7 linked regions of the Mus musculus genome follow. The protein of the gene in region 4 purifies or fractionates together with the protein of the main gene of each other region. This does not show direct contact. Links are inferred from orthologs where the notes say so. Each region holds a gene or a part of one and is shown on either strand. Other genes may lie near its edges. The genes, in order: Zfp638, Ythdc1, Dido1, Srpk2, Dgcr8, Snrpa and Srrm1.

Region 1 (3,500 bases), on a different chromosome or scaffold from region 4:
GAGATTTTTTTTCTGAGTAACAAATGACATCTATTCTCTTTGATGGAATAAGGCAACTACTACTGTACTAAAATTCAGCATATTTTTCTGTGGATAGATTGCTGCTTTCTGATTGAACGTAGGGCATGATATATGTTAAACATGTGCTCTACCCCGAATACACTCCCAGCCCAGAATGATGTTTTCTTTTGCTAAAGTTAACTTGAAGACAAAAGCAACCAATTCAGGTTTTAGGTCACTGACTGAAAACTGATAAATGAATACAAAGACAATAAAATGGCAGTATTTGCAGAGAAAAAAAAATAACAAAAGAACTAAAACCTACACATATGTAAACCTACCTCTTCAAGCTACCCAGCCAATTCCAGGCTAAAGCTTGAAATTAAAGCTTCTTAAGGTACGTTCCCTCCTCCCCACCATTCTTACCTAAAAACTACATTAGTAAACAAAAGAATCAGTGGTTCCTATACACGTATGTTAAGAAAGGGGGAATGTGGTAGTTCCTGCTCAAATTTACCACTAGTTATTATCAAACAGCAAACACTACATAACACCATTCCTCAGCGTCTGTGCAAATGTCTCCTCTGTCTACACGAACCACAAGGTACCTTAAGCATATATTTTGGATGTTTCTCTCTGAATTTCCAGCATTTTACTCTCTTTTCTGAGCTCATGGCTGGTTCCATAATCATAATCATCTTTATATCCTGAATCATTCTACTATGAAATTATTTTAAAAGCACCTTCTCAAGAAAAAAATTACTGGTCCATACAAAAATCAAAAAACCCTTAAAGCAACATTAAGATCTTTAGAACAGGTATGCACAGGGCTAGAAGATATATTGTCCTTAAAAGTATGTTACAGATGAGTTTTATATTTTTATCCTAATAAATCTTAAACATACTTTCCCATGTAGCAGTGTTATGAGTACACAATTCATTAGAAAAATTAGATGCTACATAAATGGAATAACTAAAGTTCAAAATAAAGGCAAACTATATAGTATGCCAAGTAACAGGATGTAGAAACCCAAACATTCATTTCAGTACTTAAGTACTTACGATTACAAGTAGGTGCTGGGGTTGCACTTTTGTTAACGCTTTGTTAACAGCAGCATACATAACAGAATTTAGAGAAAACCTGGGCACTGAGCATCATTGTACAGCAATCTTTTAAAAACACTCACCTTCAAATGACTACATTCTACGTTACACAGAGAACACAAATGTGGAAATATTCTTGGAGATGCTGCATAATAATCATTCATCATAGAAGGGGTTGGCAGTCTCTTCATTTTCTGGGCACCAGCTTGTGTAAACTTTGGTAGCCACGAAGCTTTCACAATCCCAAAGGGAGACCGAATAGGCAAGTCAGCCTCTGATTGGTAATCCTTTTTACTTTCTGTAGGTCCACCATGTGCATCAGCTGAACTGATCACAGACTTCTGTGAGATCCGCTCTTGTTGGCGTAAAACTGCATCTAATTCAAATGTAAAGGGTACCTGGTTCATAGATGGAGGATTCAGAGACTGGCTCGTTGTCTGGCTAACTGTTTGGCTAATAGACTGGCTGATGGATTTTACAGGTTCAAGGACTGACTGTCCTGAAATGTGTAAGCCTGACATCTTGGTTCCACTCTCAACTGGGAAAAAAGACTGACTGGAGGACTCACCAGGGAAGTCCATCTGACGAAACATATCTCCACCAGGAAACACAGAATTACATATCACATTTGGAGTTGAAACAGTTGCAGAAATGCTCTGCTGGGGCTGAAATTCATTCTTTACTTCATCAGTTGGAATTTCAGGATCATAAATACGTACTTCAAGTGGATCTTCTGTATAACCATATTTGCTTGCATGCCCATAATCAATCACATTACTTGAAACTGTTTCATTACTAAGTGTTTCCTTATTTCTGCTGTGAGAAGGTAAATTAGGTAATCGGCGGCTCATTTTTCGCATTCTTATATCCCTCAATATTAATGGCATATTTTCAGGAGTTAGCTGTTCATCAGGATAGCGGCTAAGTTCTTCTAGATCTTCATTTGATAATCCAAAACTTGCTAAAATACTTGAAGCACTCTCTTTTGTGTAGCGGCTCTGTACTTTAGGACTTTGCTCTGTAACCTGGGTTACAGAGCTCTGTTTCACTTCTACCGGTGGAGTTATATGAGACTCATCATCCCACCGACTACCATGAGGCTTCCCCTTCTTTTGTTGTGCTTCAGGAAAATCCAATTTTTCTTTGGTTAATCTTGGATCGGTTCGGTGTTGAGTTACCTGAACATTCATTCTTTGTGGTCCCATGTTCTGATAAGATCCGTGGCCAGGAAATCTGTGTGGAATTCCACGGGCTCTCCCTGCTGGGTAAAATCTTGGAAGACCCATAGAGCCAGGCCTCACAAATGGTCCTGGAGGCCTCATCCCAGGAGGATTAGGTGCTCGTGGCCTTTGAAGTGGAAAGGTCCCTCGAGGATTAAACCTGGGTCTCGACATGGCTACTTTCAAGAATGCCTGATTTAAAAAAGTATAAGGTGGTGTTGAACCATGGGAGGCAACGGCATTCAGCTGCTGAAGCGCCAACTGAGTCTCAATCTGAGCAAAGCGCAAAGGAGACGGGCCCAACAGAAGTGGGCTCGCAATGCCCAGGCTCAAGGAATTCACAAGTGGTGCGAAATTTTCCAAGAATAACACAAAGCTGAAAGTTAAAACACAAATATTAGATCATTTTAACTCAAACTGCTTCATGCAGTGGGTTCTACAGCCAGAGTAAAACATTTTGAAATCAAGCCATGATATCATTTTGCATTGCATATACTTTTAGAGTAAGGGCTTACAAAGATTTAAAATTTCCTCTAAAACTTTCTCTTCTTTTCTGATTCCAGAACACAAACCCCAAACCTCAAGTTCATGTACATTGCCGAGCTGTACTGGGTGCTGTCCTAGGTGCTGAGATGTAATTCACAAGTCCTTTTACATAATCTTGAAAAAGACTGAGGATTTATTTTGTGCTTTTATACTGAAAAAAAAGACGGAGGCATTAAGATTCTTAGAAATAAACACTATGTGTGTGATCAGACATGAAAGAATTGTAACTTTAAAGTTTTATTTAGACCCATTTTTGAAAGACACATTCTTCCTTGGAATCAGCCTTCACATCTACTAGGTTCCACATGGCAATTAAGCTATACTTATATTTCTGTTATTGAACAGTTGTTTCTGGTTAAAAAAAATGTGTCACCAGGAATCTAATTACAAAGTCTTTAACAAGGAGGTGCTGGAGCATGGAACTCCTTATAATACACAATATAACATGGTAACAAAACCAGTTAGGGTTTTTGTTGTTGTTCTTTCAATTGTTGAGAATACAGACAAAATACATAGGTAACAATGATTAACTTTAGAGAAAATGTCCATGTTGTAGTTGCTCTCCTAAGCATTTTACATGAATTTAGTCGTTTAGTTCTCACAAGTCCCAGAAATATGCATAGTTTTACA
Region 2 (3,500 bases), about 63 Mb from region 4:
CAGGTAATTCATAAACTAGTTCCAAGAATGTAATTCAAAGCTAAGCAAGAGTGAGCCCAACTTACCTGTCCACTTCCTGGTATCGGGGATCCTTTACATACCCTGTTCAAACATCAAGCATTTTAATAAATCAAACTTTATATTTTTACTAGGGCATTATAATTAAACCTTCCTTACCCTTGTTTCAACTCTTCCCAGGAATATACTTAAAGGATGTTATCATTCAACTACTACAGAGATTTTCACATGCATCCTGTCTTAAGGACAGAGAACTAACTTGAGTGTTACATGTGAACTTGCTTGAGGACACTGCAGCAGAATGGCCTTTAAACAATGTTTCACCTTGAGAGCTTACAGCTACAGCTAAGTTTTAAACCATGAAGACTCCAAAGGACAAAAATTTGCAAAAAGCTGCAAAAATGAGTATATGTATATTCTAAGAATCAAGTAACAAAACAAGTATCTACTCCACCCCCTAGTTTCCTTTAGAGAGGGTCCAGCAAACTAATATACAAAAATGTCTGACTGGCTCTGTTACTAGGGAAAGTATTTGTCTAAATGGAACACAATTGCCTTCCCTAGAAAAAAAACATACTTCTGTAAAACCACTGTTATAAAATACTAGAGTTATAATGCTAACCAGAACCAAACTCTAGAGTTTTACAGGTGTGTCCATGACTGTAATTTAAACATACCCCTTCTTTAATCTCAACAAACAACACACTAACTGAAAACTTTTACACTTGGATAACAAGCCAAGTGTTTACCATCACTCTCCAAAATGATATCAAGTTTATTTTTTTAAAGGCCTAATTTCTATCTTGATTTCCAATTAATGCTGCATATGACAGGAAACACTATGTATCCTAAGGAACAGAAAGCACAACAAAATTGTTTTCCTACATCTTACACATGTACAGATCAATTTCCATTTTTTGCAAAGACAGAAATTTCATGTAATTATGACTCAATGAAGTGGACTGAACAATCTAAACATGGTAGGGAAGATCTACTAATTAAAACTAGTATGGATTTTCTAAGGAAAAGTAGTCTCTTTTAAACCTATTGAAAGTTTTTGTTGTTTTAATAATTTTAAGTCAAATAATCTTCAGGATTATAAAATATTAACCTGGTCTCTGGTGAAACTCAGGGGGATAGTCAATCCTTGGTTTCTTTCTGCTGTTATGAATATCATAATCTTCTGGTCGACGCCTACACAAATTAGACACATTAGAAATTAAACCAAAAACAGCTGGTAAAACAAACAGCAAAGCAAGAGTTTGACAGAGATGAGTACAAAGAATAGCCCATGGCCTCCTAAAAGAAATTGCCATTAATTTTTGGTGAACAACTTAAAAGTTCTTAAATTTTAATTCCTCAAAGGCAATCCTTATACACATACTGTGGAGTAGATCTCTCTGTAATCTCACAGTAAAAAAAAACCTCAAGAATTATCTAATTCAACCCTGTAAAACACATTTTAGTAGTCTAAACATATATGAGCAGTTCTTTAACAAGTCAAAGTTTCCCAAATGTCACCATTCAGGTAACAACAGAAGGAAAACCACATCAGCAATTATGTAATAGTTAGGTCTGAAATGTATATAGATATAAGTTTAGATTCAATCTAAACAAATCTAAATAAACAAGGTTAAGAAGTCTTAAATGATCCCTCTGCTTTACACAAAACTAGTTTTCATATTATACAGAAAGTTTTAAATTTAATAAAGCTATGTAACAGGTTTTGAAAATGTTACTTGAAAAACTAGCATCTCAGTAACATTACTTTCTTTAATACATTAGTTATTAAGGTAATTTTTCCAGAGACAATGACTTTTAAAACGGCTCTCATGAATTGCTATGTAATAAGTTTTAACAGAGTTCATAACACTAGCTCAAACTTTAAAAGGTGCTGTTAATTTGCTGAGGGCTGTTCTTCATTGTCTTTCATAAACCTTGATAGCTAGTATAACAATACAACATAAAATACACTTTACTTAGCATTTAATAAGAGCTAAACAAAACAAAAAGTTCCAAAACATTTAGGGATTAAACATAATCCTTTTACTATTAGTTTCAAATATATAGTATATAATAACCAAACATCAATAATTTTTCAGCTCTCTCTCTAAATATTAAATGTTCTCATTAACTTTTGCACCAAACCACTCAAACTGCAGTTAAATCCAACAAACCAAGTACCACCCACCCCAACAGAATAAAAACAGTTGCATCTACAATAAATAATACTAAGTAAATTAAAAGCTGGTTATAAAATAAACATACCGCTTTCTTGTAGTTTGGGGAGTGCATTTACGACCGGTATAAAACATGATAGTAACAGTTCATATAGTAGTCCAACTACTGACTGTAAGCCACATACATAAATGGAGGCCCTGGCAGGCTTGAGAGGTGTAGTGGTGTTATAAGTATAGTTTGCAGTCCATTGCAAAACTGAGGAAAAACTTCACTTGTATTTACTGTATTGCACTGGAAACCTTTTAGCTTAAACTTGAAAAGACATCTTGGTGATCAGTCCTTTTAGGCCAAAAGTAAGGGGCTCTGCCAGGTTTCCTCCTACCTACTCGACAAAGTCCTTTTTAAGCTCAAAGAAATGGGACTCCTGTTGGATTATCTGTACCTACCACAGGTTGTTTCCAGCAAAGGAAACGTAACCAAAGGTTTCATCCCATCAACCACACATCCAATAGTCTTTAGCAGAATATTTTAGATTAGCTGTATGCAAATCTATACAGGGGAAGGTGTTGGGTAGAAGGGCTTAAATCAGTTCTTTTCAAAGACTTCTCTCCAATTCTGTAACAAGTTAAACCCCCTTTTTCTGGAAAATGCTGTTTAGTTCATAAGGTAGTGATCAATAACCATGGCGATCCTCTAAAAAACACTTTAAGTCCACAGGTACTGCCAGCATCTGGAAAAGTTGTAAACAGACACAGCAACAGCCCTTCGTTTTGGTTTGTTGCCGGGTCTCCCAGGGCCACTTGATCCCCTTTGGAAAGAACCTATTGTTTTCAGAAGCTCAGCTGGATGTGTGAATTCACTGGGCACATGTTACAGAATATGTGGCAATGGGGTTAACACATCACGGTGACAAAATTGGAAACAGTCCCAATAATGCTCCTCTTGAATATGAAATAACTTAAAACATTTTATCCTCTAAGTGAGGCGTCATCTTCTCAAAAAATATTAGTGATCCTTTATAAAAGTCCCATATGTGGTAAGGCTTATCCAGAGACACACCTGAAAGAAAGGGCTTTATAAAATATTAACAATTTTTGCAAATAAAGACTTCCTCCTCTTCCTCCTTTCTAGCCTGTTCTTAGCAACAAAATGCCTACCTCGTTTCACTTGCTGTATTATCAGAGTACTATCTAGTCTAAACTGGTCATCACTTGTTAGTAAATTATTTTTTCTGCATTAGGAAAGATCCCCATTTTCCTCTTGAAAAAAATGAGGCCAACGTGACCATGTGAAATCCTCAA
Region 3 (3,500 bases), on a different chromosome or scaffold from region 4:
TGAAAAGCTCACTGCCTCAGCCTCTCAAGCCATGTGCAAACGGTGGACACTGTAGATAGGCAAGAACCATCTGTTGTCCCACAGATCCTATGAGAGTGTTAGAGGACATAACTACAACTAGTCTGGTCCTTTGAATTGGATGCCAGGTGGTGATGGGGCATCTCTGTGGCGTTGTTAGGAGATGAAGTTGCTGCAGCTATTGCTGAGTGGAGATACTCTGAAGCCTCTAGTTCACTCTTAAAAGTGTTCTAGCCAAAAGATGAAAGACTAAGGATGTTGTTCATTGGGTAGAATGCTTGCTTAGCATGCATGAAGCCCTGGGTGTGATCCCCAGTATCTCATAAAGTTGTGAGGTGGTATATGCCTATAATCAGCTTTTAGTAGGGGCAAGAGAATCAGAAATTCAAGATCATCTTTGGCTACGTAGGGAGTTTAAGACATGAAAAAACCTGTCTCTAAAAGTAAGTAAATAGAAGAAAAGATGGGTGGACAGATAGCTCAGCAGTTAAGAGCATGGACCGCTGTTCTTCCAGGGGTCCTGAGTTCAAGTGCCAGAAACTACGTGGTTGCTTAAAACCATCAGTAACGGGATCCATTGCCCTCTTCTGGTGTGTCTACAGACAGCTACAGTGTGCTCATGTATATATAAAGATGAAGCAGATTTGGAGTGCTGCTAACAAGGGCACTTGGGTGTTTTTAGTTCTGATCTCACTTTTCACTTTATTTGCTTGCTGTTCACAATAGAATGTTAAAAGTTTGACTTGGTGATCTATTGGACAGTGACCACATAATCTTCCCATTTTAGGTTTATGATCTGCTGTGATCGGTGTGAGGAGTGGTTCCATGGTGACTGTGTGGGTATTTCTGAGGCCCGAGGGCGGCTCCTGGAAAGGAACGGGGAAGACTACATCTGCCCAAATTGCACCATTTTGCAAGTGCAGGATGAGACAAACGGTAGCGCCACCGATGAGCAGGACTCTGGGTGCAGATCTGTGGGTGCTGATGGCACAGACTGCACAAGCATAGGGACAGTAGAGCAGAAGTCCGGAGAAGACCAGGGCATAAAGGGTAGGATTGAGAAGGCAGCAAACCCCAGCGGCAAGAAAAAACTCAAGATATTCCAGCCTGTGAGTATCTGTCTGCCATGGCAAGCACACATGTAGGGCTTTCTGCTGCTGAAGAGAGCAATACTAAGAAGGTGCCTTCTCTTTAGGACTGTTGGGCTGGGCTTTTGTGGGCAGTTACTGTATCTGTACGGGCCTGGGCCCTGCAAGAGAACATTCTGCTGCTGGTACACCTTGCCACTCCAGTTGGTGTCAATTATGACTGCTCCATCATAGCCTCCTTAGTGCCAGCAGCTTACTGTGCTCTAATGGTCACTTAAGGGGAAATCCATTTCTCCACAGTGCTATTGACTGAGTTTGAAGAAAAAAACCTTACTTTTTCACACGCTCTTGGTGTTACATATTTTGAGTGCTGGCAGAGTTATTGAGAGAAAGGTGCACTGTGCTCTGCTCTTACTTACATGCTGGCCTAAGTTGTTCCATGCCTGGTACTCATGTTTTCTTCATTCTTCCTACTTGAGTTATGTTATCCCATGGGGCCATAACTGTCAAATTTCCCATGAGCTGAGACTAGCAGTCTTGCTGCTCAGGAGAGCTTTCTCCTGCTGTCAACAGGTGTGTTGCATTTCTCAGGAGGGTGCCACCAAGTGCATCTTCACTTTAAACCCCAACCCCCACAGCACCTCCAGCAGGTGAGAGTCTGGGGAAACTACAATCTAGACTGGCACTGTCTTAGTTCTCACTGTGCTGCAAGGTGAAAAAGTGACAATGACATCACACCGTGGCCACTAGCACCGTTTACTGGAGGAAGTTGTCAATTTGATGCTTTTATTATTGCCAGTCAGTATGTTAGACATTGCCTGAATTTTAGTCTGTGTAAACTTAGATTTGGTAGAAGAAAAGCAACTATCTTAAATATTTATCCTGAAAACTGGGAGCTCTCAAATTGTCAGACATATGTTCTGTTCAGTCTTCCTGATATACTTAGAGCTAAACGGTCTCTAGTTTTCTGAAATGTATGTATCCTGTGTCTTTTGGCAATCTCCCTCCAAACCACTCAAAACAACAAACAAAAAAACAGGCTGCCTTTCTTCAAAACTAACAGTGGATCTCTTCTCTCTTAGGGCACGGCACATTTACTCTTTTAAGAATTTTCACTTGAAGGCTAGGGGTGGTGGAGTCCAACCTCTAAAGGCAGTATGAGTTCAATATATATATTTCCCTCTGAGGGGCTGGAGACGTGCTCAGATTCAAGAGGAACTAGGTTCAATTCATAGTGCCCATATGGTTCTCATCGTCATTTATAGTTCAAGTGTCAGGCAGTCTGATATCCTCTGTGCATGGACAGACAGACATGAAGGCAAGACACACATACATATAAAGGAATTTCAATTTTTTGACAGTTATAAAGAGGAATTTTTACCTGGACTCATAAGATGGCTCATTGCATAATAGCATGGGCCATCAAATCTGATTACCTGAGTTTAATCTTCAGATCTCACATGGTAAAAGGAGAGAACTGACTCCTGAAAGTTGTCCTGACTCCTGCTGTACCAGCTATTCATGTGCAAGCCTGCGGGTATATGCACATGCATGCACACACAATATGTAACAGAAATCTTAATGAAAATTTGTAACTCATTAAGTCTACATTTTTTGCCCTCTTTTTTTCATAGTGGTTTATTTTTAACATGTGTGTCTAGGGGAGTAGTGTGCAACAGTATAGATGCCCTCAGAGGACAGGGCTATCTGACATGAGTTCTAACAACTAGACTGCTCTTCTGTAAAAGCATCCTCTGAACCATGTTTCCAGCTCCTCTCTTACTCTTACCTCATTTGGGACCTGCACATGTTTAGAGGGCATATAGATCTGAAGCTCCCATGTGTGCAGAGTTTGTGTGCCAGGGCAGTCAAGGAAAATAGGTTTGTATAGTTCACAAAGATAGGTCTTACCATGTAGCCTGGGCTGACCTGAATTTCGGAAGTCTCCTGCCTTCCCTTCCCATGTGCTAGAATGGTGTTAAAAGATTATGTCATCATGCACAGCTAACAAATGAAAAATGAATTTTTATTCATATAAAACTATTATTAGAGCCATCCATAGTGATGTACACCTTGCACCTTTAGTCCCAGCACTGAGGAGGCAGAAGCAGGCAAATCTCTTGAGTTCAAGGCTGGCCTGGTCTGCATATCAAGTTTCTGGGCAGCCAGAATTTCATAGTGAGACCCTCTCTCAAAAAACAACCAAATAAAAATTCCTGCTAGTGTCTTAATACCAGTGACCACCAATAGTGCTGTCACTGAGCACTGATCACTAGTGTCTGCACACATGATGTCTGAAGTTGCCTGTCTTGTTCTGCAGGTCGTAGAGGCTCCTGGTGCTCCTAAATGCATTGGCCCTGGGTGTTCCAGTGTAGCACAGCCTGACTCTGTGTA
Region 4 (3,500 bases):
GCAGATCTCCGAGTCCTTGCCTCACAAAATAAGAAAAGAAAAATAATCCGAACGTGTTTTCTATTCCAATGAAAGTTTTTTTTACTCATACCTGTTAAGTTATGCATGGTGCAGGGAATATGGACAAACAAGCAGATCTCGTTAAAGAGTAGACTTCTTTTACACTCCCTACTACTTTTTCTCTGGATGGTTCTGCCATTTTTTAGATTAGCTATTTCTGGATCTGCTAAAGTCACATGTGAGACCCACTGCTTGTAATTTTCCATGAAGATTTCATAGGGTCTTTTCACTAAAAAGACTGACTTGGCTATAATGTTCCAAATAACCAATGGTTCACTTTAAGCTTTTATTCTTTTTTCTTCCTAGATTTTCCTTCACTATATAACCTTGGGTGGCCTGGAGCTTATGCAGAACAGGCTGGCCTCAGAGATCTTCCTGCCTCTGCCTCCCAAGTGCTGATATTAAAGGAGTGCACCACCACACCCAACCTTTACATTTATTCTTTATCATCATGCTACCAAGAATCAGATATAACCATATGGTACCCAATCACAAAAGTGTATGCTAGAACTCCTTGGTATATCATACACTCGCTAGGGTATTATTAATAGAAGAACCACCTTAAGATTAATATTCTAGCTTCCTTTTCCAATTTGACATTTCTAACCTCATTAGACAAATTTCATTCAAATGGTAAAAGTTCTTTCAGAGGTAGGGAAAACATAAACACACTCTGTGGTTCTTATAGGAATGTTTCTATAGAAATCATGACTCAGCAGCCACCATTTGTCATAGGCTCTATAAGGAAACGCACAGCCTCATTGGAAAAACCCAGCATGCATAGTTTGTGAATGAGTGGCATCGTCTATCTTACTACAGTGTATGATATAAAAATGTTAAACCCTAAGAAGGATATGTGTCTTGTTCACACAGGGAAAGATTGGAGGGGACAGGGGAGGAAACCATTGCACTTACGATGAAACACTGATTAAAAAAAGGGAACACCCACATTGTAGATAATGAAGCTATAACTAAAGCCTCGTTCATAAATCCATTCTGCCTTAATGTATGTTCTGTGACAATCTGCAACTCCTTTAGCTTTGTTGACACTACAGAGAGCAAAGGTATGTTGATTCTGTCTCTTGAAATACAGGGTAATAAGCAAGGCAATGTCTGGAAAAACACCCCAAAACACTTTAATTTTTAAGACAAGTGCAAGCACCCCAAACAAAGGATTATTGTTACAACACTTGTTAGCTTTTCACAATCTAATTATTGCAAAGGCATATGAATAAATGTTAATGGACAAAGTCAAGAAAAACGAGGCACCTTAATGAATAAAAATTTTTAAAAAAAAGACATTCAACCCACTGACTTCTAAAAGAGGCTAAATACACCTCCTATGTTACATTCTAAAATAGTATTGCCTACTAATGGTTTGTATCCTGGATTCTACAGTTAATTTTAAGGAAATGCATAAACTAAAACTGTATGCGGTCTGCAAAGGGGAAATGGCCTTCTCATTCATGGGAGGTAAGGAAAAGGCGAGGGAAGGGAAGCTGCCTAGGACGGCATGGGCACGGTCGCTGTTACCTTGAAGCTGTGAGGAGTGCTCGGTCCACTGCGTTGCAAACTGTCTAAGCCACGCCTTGTGTTTTAAACAAACACGATCATGCTTTTCAAAAAATATTTTTTTCATTCCACACACTGAACATATTTCTCTTGTCCAATTTAATCTACGTATTTAACTTACAGTGCTGGTGAGAGGTGACACTACCGGGGATTGGGCCATCACATTTTAAGTGGAAATGACTGATACTTTAAACATAGCTTAAAAATATGCAAAATACAAATGGAACTGCTAGATTATAGTGTCAAATTTTTAAAGTTTTTCTCTCTTTAAAGTGCCACAGAGGGCATGGCACCTCGTCCAGAACCACTTGGGTTGTTATGGAATGAAAAGTTTGTGCAACTTTCTGAAGCAGTGGAAATCTGCAACATGCAATGTAGGCCAAAAAGCGCTCAGGACTGGGTAGCTTTTCTGAATGTGAATCCTCATCCCCTATTTATGCAAAGTAATAGTTACATACACTAGTATAATACAGGAATGATTTCCCTTTGCCAGACGATAAAATTGTACATTTCCTTGCTCTTTCTTGGTTCCAACTGATAATTTCTTAAGATTGTAAATTATATAATACTCAGCTAAAATATGTCTTCATAAATAGTTACAGAACCTGCCAAAACACAAAAGGGAAAGTATTTTTCGTTCAAAAAAAAAAAAAGACATTTGAATGTCACACAACACAAGAAACAATGCTTAGAGACATGTTATTGTTTCCAGAAGAAAATGGCCAGTAAACTACTTAGCTGAAGACAAAGACCAGCCTTCCCCAGGACCATGGTGCACAGGAAGCAAAGTGTCAAACAACAGTACCTCAAAGCACTACAAAGGTCTGAGGGTGGAGCCAGCTCACTGGTAATCCTGTTAAAGAATGAGAGCCACTGTGTAGGTCCAATGTACTGGGAGAAATTTGCTAGCTCAGAATGCTATATTTGTAGAATCTGCTAAGAATTCAACCAAGGATGTCGAAGGCATTCGCCAGCTGAGGCTCGTTTTTCTGGAACCATCTCTAACATTGGGATCAGGAAATCTGTAAATTGTGCAGCATCTTCATGGGGCCAGCCATACTTTTCCACAAGTACATCAAAGAGGCTCCAGGGCTTCAGCTTGGTGATGTGCCGCAGTTCTCCTGGAGAGAGAGAAGTACAGCATCAGAGACGCTCCACGAGTGCACATCTCAGGATGACCTGAGCCAGACAGGCTTCTTCTCACTGCAGCAGACATTTTACCTCTCAAACCATTGGCTACAACAAAGAACGCTAGCTTTTCTCCCCTAAGCAAGTCTCATTGAAGAGCTAAGGGTCAAGTCGAAGCACGCTAGGTGAGTGTAAATGGGTTACGTCTGAACAAATAAATCAGCTCTGTGCTTCTTGAGCTGCAAAAGCACTGAGAGTGTCTGCTTCCCACTGGAGAGCTGCTCACACTCCAGCTTCGTGGTGCCGCCGCCATCTGTAAACTGGCTTAGGATACCTGGATGATGCAGGCTATTTGAAGTTGTTGCTGTGTTTTCACATGTGCTTCTACCTCAATGCAAATCTAACTTTTTCTGATGGTGCACATGTCCTTTTGAACTGTGCTGTCCACTGGCTCCACAGGGCTAACAGGCACACGGTTAGTACACCTACAGAGCATAGGAACTCTACTTTGTCTAAATTTAAGAAATAGCCTCAAGCAGCTACTAGCAACCCAAAACAACGAATTTTTATCTCTATTCATTTATAGTAAAATATGACCTCAAGGACAGTTTTTTATAAAACCTTAAAATGTTCTAATGTGGGGGGGAAAGAGGGGTGGGGAGAAGCAGTGGTGGTACACGCCTTTAATCCCAGCACTCAGGAGGCAGAGGCAGGCGGATTTCTGAGTTCGAGGCCAGCCT
Region 5 (4,050 bases), on a different chromosome or scaffold from region 4:
GGTGGCTCACAACTATCTGTAATGGGATCTGATGCCCTCTTCAGTTGTGTCTGAAGAGAGCAATGGTGTACTAATATAAATAAAATATATCTTAAAAAAAAAAATAGATACAATCTCCCCAACCTTAGGGATATAACTCAGTGCTTTTAGCATTAACACAAGTGTGCTGAGACCGTGAGTTCTTCAACATGTTACCCTTTAGTCGTGTTTTTAGCATCCACTTTTCATGTCCAGCAGCAATTACTGAAGTGTTTGCCTAACGGCAGACAGTTTTCTATAAAATTTTTATTACACTTATTGACTTGAATCAGAACCTAAAGGAAAGCTAAACTATTTGAGGTTCTGGATAGTATAAATATAACTTATCCCCACCTTAGTCCCGGGCTTATAGCAATGAAGTAATGGTTTGTGGGTTCGGGATTTGAAGGGCTCAGGAACAGACCTGGCTAACTTCATTTTGTTTCTGAGTCACTTCTGTCCTAAAGAATTTTCCTAAGTCTCATACTGCTACCACGGGTGTCAGATGAGTCTGGAACTGCTTAAGTTTCTTTATGGTCTTTGGCACTGACACAAGTCTGCAAGGCCTACCTAAGGTCCACCCCAAACTAAAAGGACCCCCAATCGGCTCTGCTTCTCCTTCCTTTTTTGACACGGAGGATGCTGTAAGCACAGCGAACATTTTTAGTCATCAGATCTTTGTCCTTCCTGGTGTGATGATATTGCGAGTAAAACTCCTTTCCTATCCTCCGCATCGCGCATCTTATCCGTTGACTTTCTAGGATGGGTGTACCTCCAACATTGTCCTTGGGACGACCCAGAGCCGGAGGTCCATTGTCATTCGCAAACTCAAAAGTGACTATTGAGCTCAACAGAGGCCAGCTCATAGATGAGCTCCCAGCGTCCCTCGCACTCCCGCGCTCCCCGGCTCCCGGCAGCCTCTACGCGCCTCTCTCCCGGCGCGCCCCGCGGCCGCAACTCAGCCCCACCCGGAGCGACAGCCGTTAGAAGTGCCAGGCTTGCGGCTGGTCCCGCCCATCCCGGTCTCCATAGCGCCTCGCAATTGGGCCGCGCGCGCCTCGCGCTGCCGATTGGCGGCCGCCTCAGCCCGCTCCCGGCTCCCCCAATGCGCGGAGGCCGTGCGCCGTGATTGGTAGCCCTCCGCCAAGGCCCGCCTTCCGCTCGCCCGCGCGGCAGCGGGTCTCAAGAGCCGAGCGCTTTGCAAGGGCCTTCGCGGGTTGTGGCGGCGCCGGGGTCGGTGAGGGTCGACCGGCTGTGGTCGGGCTGCGGGCGGCTCGGGCAGGTCGCGGGCGCCACAGGTAGGTGCGGGGCGCGATGGGCGCCCCGCGGGCGGCGGGCGCTGCGGCCTGGAGAGGCTGCGCCCTTTCCTTCCCTCCTTCCACCCCCACCCCTCCCGGGCGAGGCCACAGGCCGGGGCTCGGGGCGGGGCGCGGCGCGCTAGGCGGGCTGGGCCACGCGGAGTCGCGGCCTTTGTGCAGTGGGGGCCGGGCCCGGAGCCCAGGCATCATGAACGTAGGGTGCTGTCTGCCTGGTAACGAAGCCCCCTGGGCGGTGGGCCCGAAGCCATTGCCTCGCCTTCTGGCGGGAGAGGTGTGGGCAGGGACACCTCAACGCCCCGAACTCCGCCTGTTTTGTTTGGAAAAAGCCAAGAAACCGCCCAAGTCTCCACCAAATTACCCGTGGATGAAGTGTCATGTAGCTTATCAGAATGTGGTTTTACAGTAACAATGAACGTTGTAGAAATAAATGGCAAGTGGCAACCTGTTGACAGCGATACATGTCAAGTAGTATCATCCAGTGGATTTGGGTTGCTGATGGTAGGAATTTGATTTGCCATCTTGCATGCTTGCATGTACCTTATTGCCAGATGCAGAGATGTCCTGTGTTGGGTTGTTGACTCTTGTATGCCAATCACTATTAGGGTGCCCACTCTCTGCTGGCTCAAACTAGACTCCCAGCCTTGGAAGTGGCTCAGTTCCCACTGTAATCCATCACTAACCGAAGATAGTGAAAGGCTGGCCCAGCTAGTGTGGCCTTTCAGTTTAGAATAGGATTTGCGGGGTGACAAAGGAATTGATGAGGTCATACTGCCTTTGGGTTGAGCGGGAGGCTGCAGCTGTAGCACTGGCCATCCGTTCAGCAAGTAGGAGTTGTTCACATGTTTTGGGTAAGCCCTGTGCCAGGGTCCAGGGGAGCCAGCAGTGGGTCTGACTTGCTCACAGTCTAATTGGCAAATCAAAATCTGCATCCATAGGTCCAGTCAGCTGAAGAATAGTGAGGTTTACAGGCAGGAGGGCTACCCTTTGAGCTGTGTTGCCAAACATGTGGAGCAGGCAGTTCACAGTGGCTGTCTGAATTTTACCTTGTGAGAAACATGATTTTGACTGGTTTGCCCAGTTTGGCCTTCTCTTGTCATCATTCCCCTCCCATGTGATCCTATGTACTTTTCACATCAGTTTCCTTTGACATCTTCCATGACTCCCATCTCCAGTACTGTCTGTCCTCCCTTCTGATCTCCAATCTCCTGCTTCTAGTTGTCTATTCCACTTTAACACCAAATAGGTTGATTCACTCCAAGAGATAACCACAGTCCGTGCCAGAACAATCCTTATGCCTGTCTAAAGTCACCTTGGTGCCTCTCATAGGCCTGCATGTATCTCCTAAGAAGCCTTGCCACCTGTTTACAACACCAGACCATTTCCCAGAAACTGTAACCTAAAGTCCCTGTCCAAGCTATCTGGTGAGCTTTTAAACTCTTCTAATTTGATCCCTACTCTTACTCTCTTAGGTTTTCTGGACACAGAGTGATTCATTAAATTGTAAGGTGTTATAAAACTGAGGTAGTGCAGACTTAGGCCTGCTTGTTTGAGTGGCAAAGCAGCTGTACCACTTCCTAGCTTTGTAACCTTGAGCAAATTGTTTAACCTTTCTGTCAGAGTACTGAGTGAATTGCATAAAATCCTTAGAGCAGGACCTGTGTGAGGTTTAGCTGCCATTGTTACCCATGGATCAGTGATACCACTGTTTTGATCCCTTCTGTGCAGTATCCTGCTACTCAAGATAAAAATGTAAAAAACTGAATACTTGTTGCCCAGGTCAGTTTCACTCAGCATACTATCTCTAGCGTGGCCACACCATGGCTCTGCCCCAGGGTCTTTGCTTTTCCTTTAAGTATCTTCTACAGTGACCCTCCTTTTTACTCTTGTTAACCATCTGGCTCCATCTATTTCATCCTTGGGTGGGCACTGGCTGTAGAACCTTGTGTAATCTTTTAGAAGCTGCTTTCTAGATTTTTATCTTGCTTTGTTTTAGCAGAATATTTGTCAGCATGTGACATCATAGATACGTTTCTTGTTATTATCCATCTCACACTAATATGCTCTGTGGGGGAAGTGTAATTGCTCTGTGGGGCAAATGTTTTATCTGCTTTGTGCTTAACACATATACATGGTGTGTATGCCTTATGGGGCATTCAGCAAATAGTTGATTAATGAATTGAGTAAGCTTTCAGAGGGAAGGTAAGAAACTTACCTTAGCCTGCTGCTGAGTTCCAGAGCTGGACAATTTGCCTGCTTCTGCAAGATGTGTACTTTCCTTTTCCAGGGCCTCAGGGTCCCCACCTATGATATATATTTCTTTAAAGCTTTTCCTGCTTTAACACTTATTAATGTCTTCACTTATTGCCTTCATCTGTAGTTCCTCACTGGCCCACTGCTTTTAACATACAGTATGCTTCCCTATCCTCTACCACTCTTGTCTCCAATCCCTGCCTACTTGAGTGTTCTTACCATTAGCATATCCTACCTCAGATACCACAGATTTGACTTGCTGTGATCTCTGTACACCTAACAGGCACTGTCCTGATCTTATTTGAGGTCTGTTAGGATTAAGCATGCTGATGATTTTGTCCTCTGCAGTGGTCCTTGGTTGCCAGGAAACTTTGATCTCCCTCCTGGCTTCTTAGTTATTGCTCTCTTCTCAGTCATTCATAAGCACCTTTGATGGGAACACCTTTGGAGAGGTGTTTTGTTA
Region 6 (4,249 bases), on a different chromosome or scaffold from region 4:
TACTACAAACTTGCTGTTCAAATAACAAACACTTCTTTTCACTCTTAAGCTAACCTTCCAGGCCTTTAAGCCTGACATGCCATCGATTCCTTCCTTCCTTCACTTGTTTATTCAAGGTAGGATCCCATTCTATAGCCTGAAACTGTCAACAATTCTCCTGTCTCAGTCTGACTCACAAGCACGGCCTCCTAGTGTCCGCCACACCTCAGCCGTTGTACTCTTCACTGAATGCCCTTCTCCTGACATCTCCATGACTGCCCCTCTAGCCACTTAAGTCTCAGCATAAATCTGCAGCCTCCCTGCAGGAAGCTCTCTCCAACTTCACTGTCCAGATGTCCCCTTATGGCCCTCTTCTTACCCTGTCTCCTGCTGACATCACAAGTCCACTTACCGACCACCACTAACAGCTACAAGCCTGTCAGTTGGACATGCTGGCCCCACCCGAGAATCCCAACCCTCAGGAGCCTGAGGCAGGAGCACCAGGTACCTGAAGTCAATCACAGTGGGACCTGGGAAGTCAGGCTTACAGGCAAGCATGCGTACCAGCTGAGTCATTTCCCAGTCCTCCCACGACACTTTTCTCCAGTTGGTCATAAGAACCAGTATTTACCCTTCCTTAACTTCTGAATTACTTCCACAAAGCAATGCACCAAGGGGCCAGTGCAAGGGCAGTAGAGCATCCATCCACTTCACAAGCCTTCACGACCTGAATATGATCTCAGGAACTCAACAGCTGAAAGACAAAGGCTTCTCTAGAGGGGTCCTGACCACCCTCATGCATCCATTTATAGATGCACACAAAATAAATACATAAAAATAGTCATTTGTGTTTACTTTTTTAAAAATGTGTGCCGGGATTCAGTCTTTGCAGAAACTTTCTAACTATGGGCCTTACTTCCAGACAAGAACTGAATTATTTGGTAGGGATTTCTATTTAAAAAGAATCTTAAAAAAAAAAAATTTTATGTGTGGATTTTTTTTTTTTTTTTTTTGCCTGCAGAAGCCAGAGGAGGATGTCGTATCCCCTGGAACTGGAGACACACACAGTTACGAACCTCCCTGGAGGCAAGGAATCAAAACCAGATCCTCTGTTAGATCAGGCAGCATTCTTTAACCACAGAGCTCTCTCCAGGCCATGCTGATTTTCTTAGTTGCTGAGATTTGAACCCAGATCCTTACTCCTGCTAGGCAAGACTAACACTAGCTACATTCCTCAAACCTTTTGGACACTGGGTCTTGCTATGTCGCCTCAGCTGGTCTGGAACTCAAGCTCCTCCTGCCTCAGTCTCCTGAGTACTGGGATTACAGCCCTGTACCTCCACACCCTAAAAGAAACCGTTTGTCTTTGGTTTCTTTTTTATCTGCTTTGGCCATGTTGTCCCAAATGGTTTCAAACTTTCACTCTTCCTGAAGAACAGAATTACAGCCTCTGCCAACCAGCCCAGTCTAAGAATCTGCTTAAGCAGAACCCCACATTTCTGTCTCATTTTTCTTGCTATTTGATCCCAGGCAAGTTATGCCACCCAAATTCCAACTACTTAATCTGAGAGGCTTGTGAGAATTAAAGACAGTCAAGACTTAGAACGCGGCACAATCACCCACATCACAAAGCCATCCATTGCCCATCCCTCCTGTGTGTCATCTGCATTGTAGTCAATCACTGAGGCCACCACCCAGAGGTCAGTGGACAGAGACAGTCTCATGAAAGCAGACTGATGGCAAGAACGATCCTGGAAGGCTTCAAAGGAAGAAGGGACCTATGAGCTAAAACCTGGAAGATCACTAACAATGCGCAGATTAAAGGGCAGAGTGTAAAACCTAGGGTGAAACCAAGGAACCAGTAGGTACAAAGGCCAAAGTTAACTCCTAACAGACAGAATGGGGAAGGCTGAAAAAGAAATGTGGATGCTAGAGGTGAAAAGGGGTCAACTCTTGTGATATCACCTTGAGTCAGGCTACCCCAAGAACTCACCATCCTTCTTGATCTTCTCATTGAGATTGTTGATATAAATAGTGTGGTTGGCACGGGTCTCGGGAACTGGCATGGTGGCTATGGTGGCCATGGTGTGAGATGTTCAGGTACGGCTTAAAGAGGAGGAAAAAGCGACTTTAGCCCTAAGTTTCCCAAATTCTTTGTTCCAAAGGGCTGATGCTCAGGGATCGCCCTTCCAAGAGGAAGTCGAGTAAGACCGGAATTGGAAGAGGATGTCACAGCTTAGCAACAAAGCCAGCACAGGCCCCCGCTTCTCCAACCCGCGTGCTAAGGGAGAGCTAGAGAGGTTAACTACGAATCCCAGAATGCTCTACGAGTCCCGGCAGGCGGAGCACACCGAGCGGCGCTTCCCATTAGTCCACGTGCGCGAAAGGCGTCCCGGGAGGAAAAAAGACCCCGGATGTCGGAGCCAGTTAAGAAAGTAGGGGCCGACTTGGAACATCCTAGTCTCTCAAAGAGAGGCCTCCCGAAGTGCTCCACCCGCCTCCCCGGCGCCGAGCAGCGTCTACAACCCGCGGGAACCCACCACCTGAGCCGTCGCTCCCGCCGACAACGCCCGCCGAGCTACGCTGCACAGACACACAACTATCTTCCCCGGCAACGGCTTCTCCCTTCCGCGAGCTAATCACGGCGGGCAAACTCGGTAAGTTCAGAGTCTCTCCCCCGGCCTCAGCGTCTGCCAAAGGAACACTTGGGGTCCCGCCCCCTGGACGCGAGGGAACGGACCAATCAAAGAAGGGCACGAGCTTCTGGCCAATTGGGACATGGTTAGAGCTCTGGTGCATTCTAAGACTGCCTTTCGGAAGCCACACCTCTTCCCCTTCCGCCAGTATCACGTGACCTTCAAGAGCGTTGTGCTGGTTGCGAGTTCTATCACGTGGGATGGGAAAGGACAGGTGGAGGCTGGCCGGGTGACGTCATTTCCTCCTGGGGAGGCGCTTGTGCAGATTCCTAAGTTCCTAAATTGATAGGTTTATACCAACTTAGTTGGCCTTTGATCGCTGAGTTGCTGCGACTCTCATACTTCCCCGCTAAGCCCATGACCCGCCCACCATTAGGCTGTTTTCTCACCCACGTGCCTTTTTTGTAACCTCTTAACCCTAGCTCGTAAAGTCAAGGTTTCAAACTCAGGCCCGCAATGCAAAAAGTAGGCAAGTCACATCCTTTAGACACCTCACAACAGATCTGAACCTCCGAATAACAGAAGTGACCAAAACTAGCTTAGCTACAGCAGATGAGATGACACCTACAAAATGTCCCTTCTAATGTAGCCCCAGCCCCATAGCACAGACCACCCTTCGGGATCCTTCAGCATTTGATTTAGCCCAGTTTCTCTTTCCACTGTTTCAAATACTAGCCCAGGTTCTCCCAGAACAACTGGCCAGACACCATATTCTGCTATCAACTCCAGTTTTAATTTTTTTTTTTTTTTTTTTTACAGATCTCAATGTGCAGGCCTGAATATCTCTCATCCAGTTCCTTTAAAAACTGAAAATCTCCATCCTTGGGAGATTTGGGGAGAGCCTCTTATTCTTCCTGTAGACCCCAAATGACTTCTCCATGCTCTTTCCCCCTAAAACCCACAATCTCTCCAATAATTCATGAGACCCCAGACACCAACATTCCACCTCCTTTACCTCTAAATCCCCCGGACCTAGCTTTACCATCCCCTCCTTGTAGTCTCCATACATCTATTTCATCCCCACTGCCGCCCCCTCCCCCCCCTCCTGCTCCTCCCCCTCCCCCTCCCCCTCCCCCTCTACCCTCTGCTGTGGAGCCTGTTCTCCCTCATGTCTATGGCCTGAAGAACAGCCAGCTCCTGAAGGAGGCCTTAGAGAAGGCTGGCCCAGCCCCCAAAGGCAAAGAGGATGTGAAGAGGCTCCTGAAGCTGCACAAGGACCGGTAGGGTCTCCAGCCCCCAAAACCAGCCCAGATCTCAGACAATCACCTGATTACAAGTCACCACAGCCACCCTGCTCTTTGCGGTCCCACTTCCTTGATCTCAAACAGCCAGATGCCTTAAGTACCCTACTTAGTTAGCTTCCAGCAATAGAGAGAACAGCTTCTGCTCGGGCCTGGCTTTGACACAGAAGCCAGTGGTTCTGTGCCTCCAGACAGTGACTCCAGAGTAGCCAGAGTTGTGATAATGGAGCCCAAGGACAGATCTCAGTGTTGGCTTCTAGAATCGAAGCAGCTACAAATGCTAGTGAGCACGTTATGCAGGCCAGTGCCATGAAAGCAGACAGTACCGAGCAG
Region 7 (3,500 bases), on a different chromosome or scaffold from region 4:
ACACTCAGCCTTTAGAGGCACTGCTTCTCTAGGTTTTCCAACTCAGCACAAACAACAAAAATATTACCTCCTCTTTTCATTACAAATCCCCACAGATTTATTTTTTAAAGTCCTAAAAATGAAAAGCCTAATGGAATTCTCACCTTTCACCACAAATATAGCAGAAGCTGAACCGAGGATTTAAAAATGTGAACCTAACAATAGTCTCATTGGAAGAAAGAAGAAAACAAATAAATGATTTGAAGTTTGGGCTCAGTACAACCATCTAAGAAAAGCAGAACATGGAATTAGGTAAGTACATGAACGCTAATGAGCAGCTCTGCAATACAAGGGACTGGAAATAATCAGAATACAGTAACAACAAAAATTCCAATGTCTTACTTAAGCAAAGCAATATGAAATCCAAATTTCTACTTAAGAATGAGTAACTCACCTAAATTAGAGGTGATCATTTTGGTCAAATGATCTGGCTTTGTCTTTTTTTTTTTTTGAACAGAGGCTTAAGAAGCCACCCCTACACCCCCACTGCCTTAATCTCCTGAATATAAAAACACGTGCCAAAAGGCTAGCAACAGAAAAGCTCTCTTTAGCCCAGAAGCAAACAGCAGCTCTCCAGTGGTGCTCCCCAGGTCTTCTAGCTAGGGAACTTGGACCAGAGCACCCCTAAGGACCCCAGGCACCTTACACACCACCACATCTCTAGCTGCTCTGCCGTACCTTCTTGGGCTGCGAGACCGCTCCCTCTTCTCTCTGCTGCTTTCCTTTTCTTCCTTATCCCTCTTATCTTTATCTTCATCTTGTTTTTTCAGAGACGCCAATTTTTCTTGTTCAATCTGCAAGCACAGAGTTGAGCACTAAGAGCATCCATTAAGGTACTGACACGGGTGCTCCAACTGCCATTTCACAGGCGTGACTGGCTGCAAGGTGTTCCATGTTCTCAAGTTCACTCTTACAACACTCTTTCATTTATCCTTTATCATTAATGTAAACTTATACCATTTATATCATTTCACTTATCATTTATATAGTCACTCTCTTGGGACTTTATAATTACTACCTGTGCGAGAAGTTGCACACACTTTTTAGATACTTTATTTAGACTCCCTTTTAAGGTAAATGCACTTATACTTTAAGAACTGAGAAAAACAAAAACAAAGCACTCTGTCCAATTGTCACTGCCTCTGGGAATACGCCACTCTAATTTCAAATGTGGTAAGCCACAACTCAGTGGGCAGACACATCCAGCAAACTAGCCTAGCCGGATCAGAGGCTACAGTAGCTCAAAGAGACAAAGCCCTCAGGGTAACCATCCGACCGTGTATGACATCTCAAGTCAATACAAAAAGCATTACTTGTCTCTGCTTTATCTCTTCCTTCTTCAACTCTAGGAAAGCAGAAGGGATTCCGGCGATATTTTCTTGTGCACTCAACAGCAGGGGCCACAGCTCTCCCATGAATTCTCTAGCATTCTTCCCATTCAAAAACCCAGTCAGGTTGATTTGCATCATTTTGGAATCTGGGTTCTGCAAAAAGACATGACAGGAAGAAAAACAGGTTACTTCGAAACTAGCCAACCTATCTGAAATTCATTTAAATTAGTATTTAAGTCTACCATAAGGGGCTTAGGTACATATATATGCTCTACTACTGTAAAAATAGTTTTCCCTAGTTGCATCTTGGTAATGTAATTTCTAGATAATCCAATTCTCCCTCACTGAACCAAAAGCATTAGAGCAGCCTTTGTGGATTTCCTAAGTATTTAGACTGTATGGCTGTTAGTGGGCTTATGCATTTATCAACTCTAAAAACAATCATGGAACATCTATAAATTCTTGCATTTACTAACAGTTTTTGCTTGGCTGGAAAACTTGCCCCAACCAAAACTTGAAAACGTACATAAACACTTCTCTTTACACTACAGGTAACTTTCTATAAACTATCTAATATCTAGTGCTCAGTTACAAGAACTAACGAGTTAAGCATGCACTCTGTAACATCTGAAGACTAAGCTAAAAGCCTGACTACTGCACATGACAACCTGTTACTAACAATGCCACAGATGCTCAACTGTCCACAAAACTAAGAGTCAAGATTTCTACAAGTAATTTGGGTTTTTAAACACTAGATTCTGTTGGTCAAGCAACAAGGTCCGTATAACAAGCACAGCTCAATAGCACAAAGCAAGTACAGATTCCAGGTGTCTTCAGTGTCTTCTTGGAACCTTGGGGGTTTGGAATCGCCAAGTCCCCTGTAGAGAAAGATGTTCCCTTGGCTTGCTTCCGACTCCCTACTGCAACTCAACCACCTTGAGTTTAATGTTATATCATTTATCTAAATTGCAAAAGACGAACAAGCAATAATGAGTACACAACCACAAAAAAAGAAAAGATTGTTTAAAAAGCTCTACACTTTAATCTCATGCTCACTACAGGGGAATACTACCAGGTATTTAGGTTTTAAAGTTCACTAAAATTCAAGTCAGTAAAGCATTTCTCTAATAAAATAGTAAATTAAGCATTTAAAAAACATCCTCCCATGTTTCTGGTCTCTAAAGGAAATAAATAAATATACTTAAACATAAGGTCCTTTCTTAAAATTAAGTCTTAAAAAACATTCAAAGCAAAATAATTACCACATTGTTTTAAAAATGAAATACCTTATCGTTTGGAATGATAACTGTTCTGTCAAAATTCAAGCATGAACTCTTGGGAACAGGAGTAATGTAAAAGTAAACTCACGTCAGTACAGTTACCAAAAGGTTTTATGGTACGGCTTTACTGTCCTTTGGGTACCATGACAAAATAGCAAACTATGTTACAACAGAAATAATTGTAAACAGTTATATCATCTTGTATTATTTCATATTGGAAGATAGAAACAATTATGTTAACTGGCTTTTATAGGACTGCCAATCCATCTGCCTGAACTTCTAACTACAATGTAAATAAAATCCTGTGCCTTAATTCTAACTGGTAAGCAACTGACTTGTAACTACAACTAAAGTCTTCAGTTCTTTTAAAAGCAACATCCAGTCAAATCAGATCGCCCCTCATGCTTCAAATAAATGTCCACCTCAAAATGCTACTTTAAAGAGCAGTACACAGCTTTACCAATTGCTCTTGTTTGTGTTGTTGTTGTTGTTGATGTTCGGCCACTTTACACAACTCACCTCCAAACACACACTGCGTCATCAAGGGAGTTGGGTCAGAGCGACATTGGGACACTCACTCTGCTGTGACCTAATAAGGTGATGGTGCTATACTTCAGACGCAAGGAATAACTTCCATTTTGGTTCAGGCCTTTTAAATCATAAATCACATTATCATTAGAAAATTGCTGTCAAAGTAACTTAACATGTAACAGCAAAATTACAAACAGTAAGTTTGATTTTTTCACCTGTGTAGCTTTCAAAACTATGCACCTTCACTAGACCTCCAGCCTTAACAGCTGTTTTACAAAGTGAATTCTTCTCACAACAAACATTGTACAGTAACCCTTCT

What was found.
Region 1: the proteins of Srpk2 (region 4) and Zfp638 purify together in Homo sapiens (affinity purification with mass spectrometry; 3 studies listed by BioGRID and IntAct, with this or other methods). This does not show direct contact. The link is inferred for Mus musculus from reciprocal best matches to the Homo sapiens genes SRPK2 and ZNF638.
Region 2: the proteins of Srpk2 (region 4) and Ythdc1 purify together in Homo sapiens (affinity purification with mass spectrometry; 4 studies listed by BioGRID and IntAct, with this or other methods). This does not show direct contact. The link is inferred for Mus musculus from reciprocal best matches to the Homo sapiens genes SRPK2 and YTHDC1.
Region 3: the proteins of Srpk2 (region 4) and Dido1 purify together in Homo sapiens (affinity purification with mass spectrometry; 3 studies listed by BioGRID and IntAct, with this or other methods). This does not show direct contact. The link is inferred for Mus musculus from reciprocal best matches to the Homo sapiens genes SRPK2 and DIDO1.
Region 5: the proteins of Srpk2 (region 4) and Dgcr8 purify together in Homo sapiens (affinity purification with mass spectrometry; 3 studies listed by BioGRID and IntAct, with this or other methods). This does not show direct contact. The link is inferred for Mus musculus from reciprocal best matches to the Homo sapiens genes SRPK2 and DGCR8.
Region 6: the proteins of Srpk2 (region 4) and Snrpa purify together in Homo sapiens (affinity purification with mass spectrometry; 4 studies listed by BioGRID and IntAct, with this or other methods). This does not show direct contact. The link is inferred for Mus musculus from reciprocal best matches to the Homo sapiens genes SRPK2 and SNRPA.
Region 7: the proteins of Srpk2 (region 4) and Srrm1 purify together in Homo sapiens (affinity purification with mass spectrometry; 3 studies listed by BioGRID and IntAct, with this or other methods). This does not show direct contact. The link is inferred for Mus musculus from reciprocal best matches to the Homo sapiens genes SRPK2 and SRRM1.

The regions. Positions count from the first base shown.
Region 1 is NC_000072.6:83,927,853-83,931,352, reverse strand, and holds part of Zfp638 (zinc finger protein 638), read right to left. Parts: intron 2,701-3,500; coding exon of another isoform or gene 2,499-2,700; coding exon 1,188-2,498; intron 1-1,187.
Region 2 is NC_000071.6:86,828,266-86,831,765, reverse strand, and holds part of Ythdc1 (YTH domain-containing protein 1), read right to left. Parts: exon of another isoform or gene 2,287-3,500; intron 1,213-2,286; coding exon 1,130-1,212; intron 103-1,129; coding exon 66-102; intron 1-65. UniProt on the Homo sapiens protein: Regulator of alternative splicing that specifically recognizes and binds N6-methyladenosine (m6A)-containing RNAs.
Region 3 is NC_000068.7:180,685,103-180,688,602, reverse strand, and holds part of Dido1 (death-inducer obliterator 1), read left to right. Parts: intron 1-805; coding exon 806-1,127; intron 1,128-3,426; coding exon 3,427-3,500. UniProt on the Homo sapiens protein: Putative transcription factor, weakly pro-apoptotic when overexpressed. Tumor suppressor. Required for early embryonic stem cell development.
Region 4 is NC_000071.6:23,504,968-23,508,467, forward strand, and holds part of Srpk2 (SRSF protein kinase 2), read right to left. Parts: intron 2,754-3,500; coding exon 2,569-2,753; 3' UTR 1-2,568. UniProt on the Homo sapiens protein: Serine/arginine-rich protein-specific kinase which specifically phosphorylates its substrates at serine residues located in regions rich in arginine/serine dipeptides, known as RS domains and is involved in the phosphorylation of SR splicing factors and the regulation of splicing.
Region 5 is NC_000082.6:18,286,369-18,290,418, reverse strand, and holds the start of Dgcr8 (microprocessor complex subunit DGCR8), read left to right. Parts: upstream 1-1,250; 5' UTR 1,251-1,316; intron 1,317-1,322; exon of another isoform or gene 1,323-4,050.
Region 6 is NC_000073.6:27,193,472-27,197,720, forward strand, and holds the start of Snrpa (U1 small nuclear ribonucleoprotein A), read right to left. Parts: upstream 2,801-4,249; 5' UTR 2,520-2,800; exon of another isoform or gene 2,310-2,519; intron 2,290-2,309; exon of another isoform or gene 2,086-2,289; 5' UTR 2,064-2,085; coding exon 1,973-2,063; intron 1-1,972. Other genes in the region: BC024978 (UPF0692 protein C19orf54 homolog), read left to right, coding at 3,543-3,895. UniProt on the Homo sapiens protein: Component of the spliceosomal U1 snRNP, which is essential for recognition of the pre-mRNA 5' splice-site and the subsequent assembly of the spliceosome. U1 snRNP is the first snRNP to interact with pre-mRNA.
Region 7 is NC_000070.6:135,343,147-135,346,646, forward strand, and holds part of Srrm1 (serine/arginine repetitive matrix protein 1), read right to left. Parts: intron 3,300-3,500; exon of another isoform or gene 1,524-3,299; coding exon 1,353-1,523; intron 834-1,352; coding exon 718-833; intron 1-717. UniProt on the Homo sapiens protein: Part of pre- and post-splicing multiprotein mRNP complexes. As a component of the minor spliceosome, involved in the splicing of U12-type introns in pre-mRNAs. Involved in numerous pre-mRNA processing events.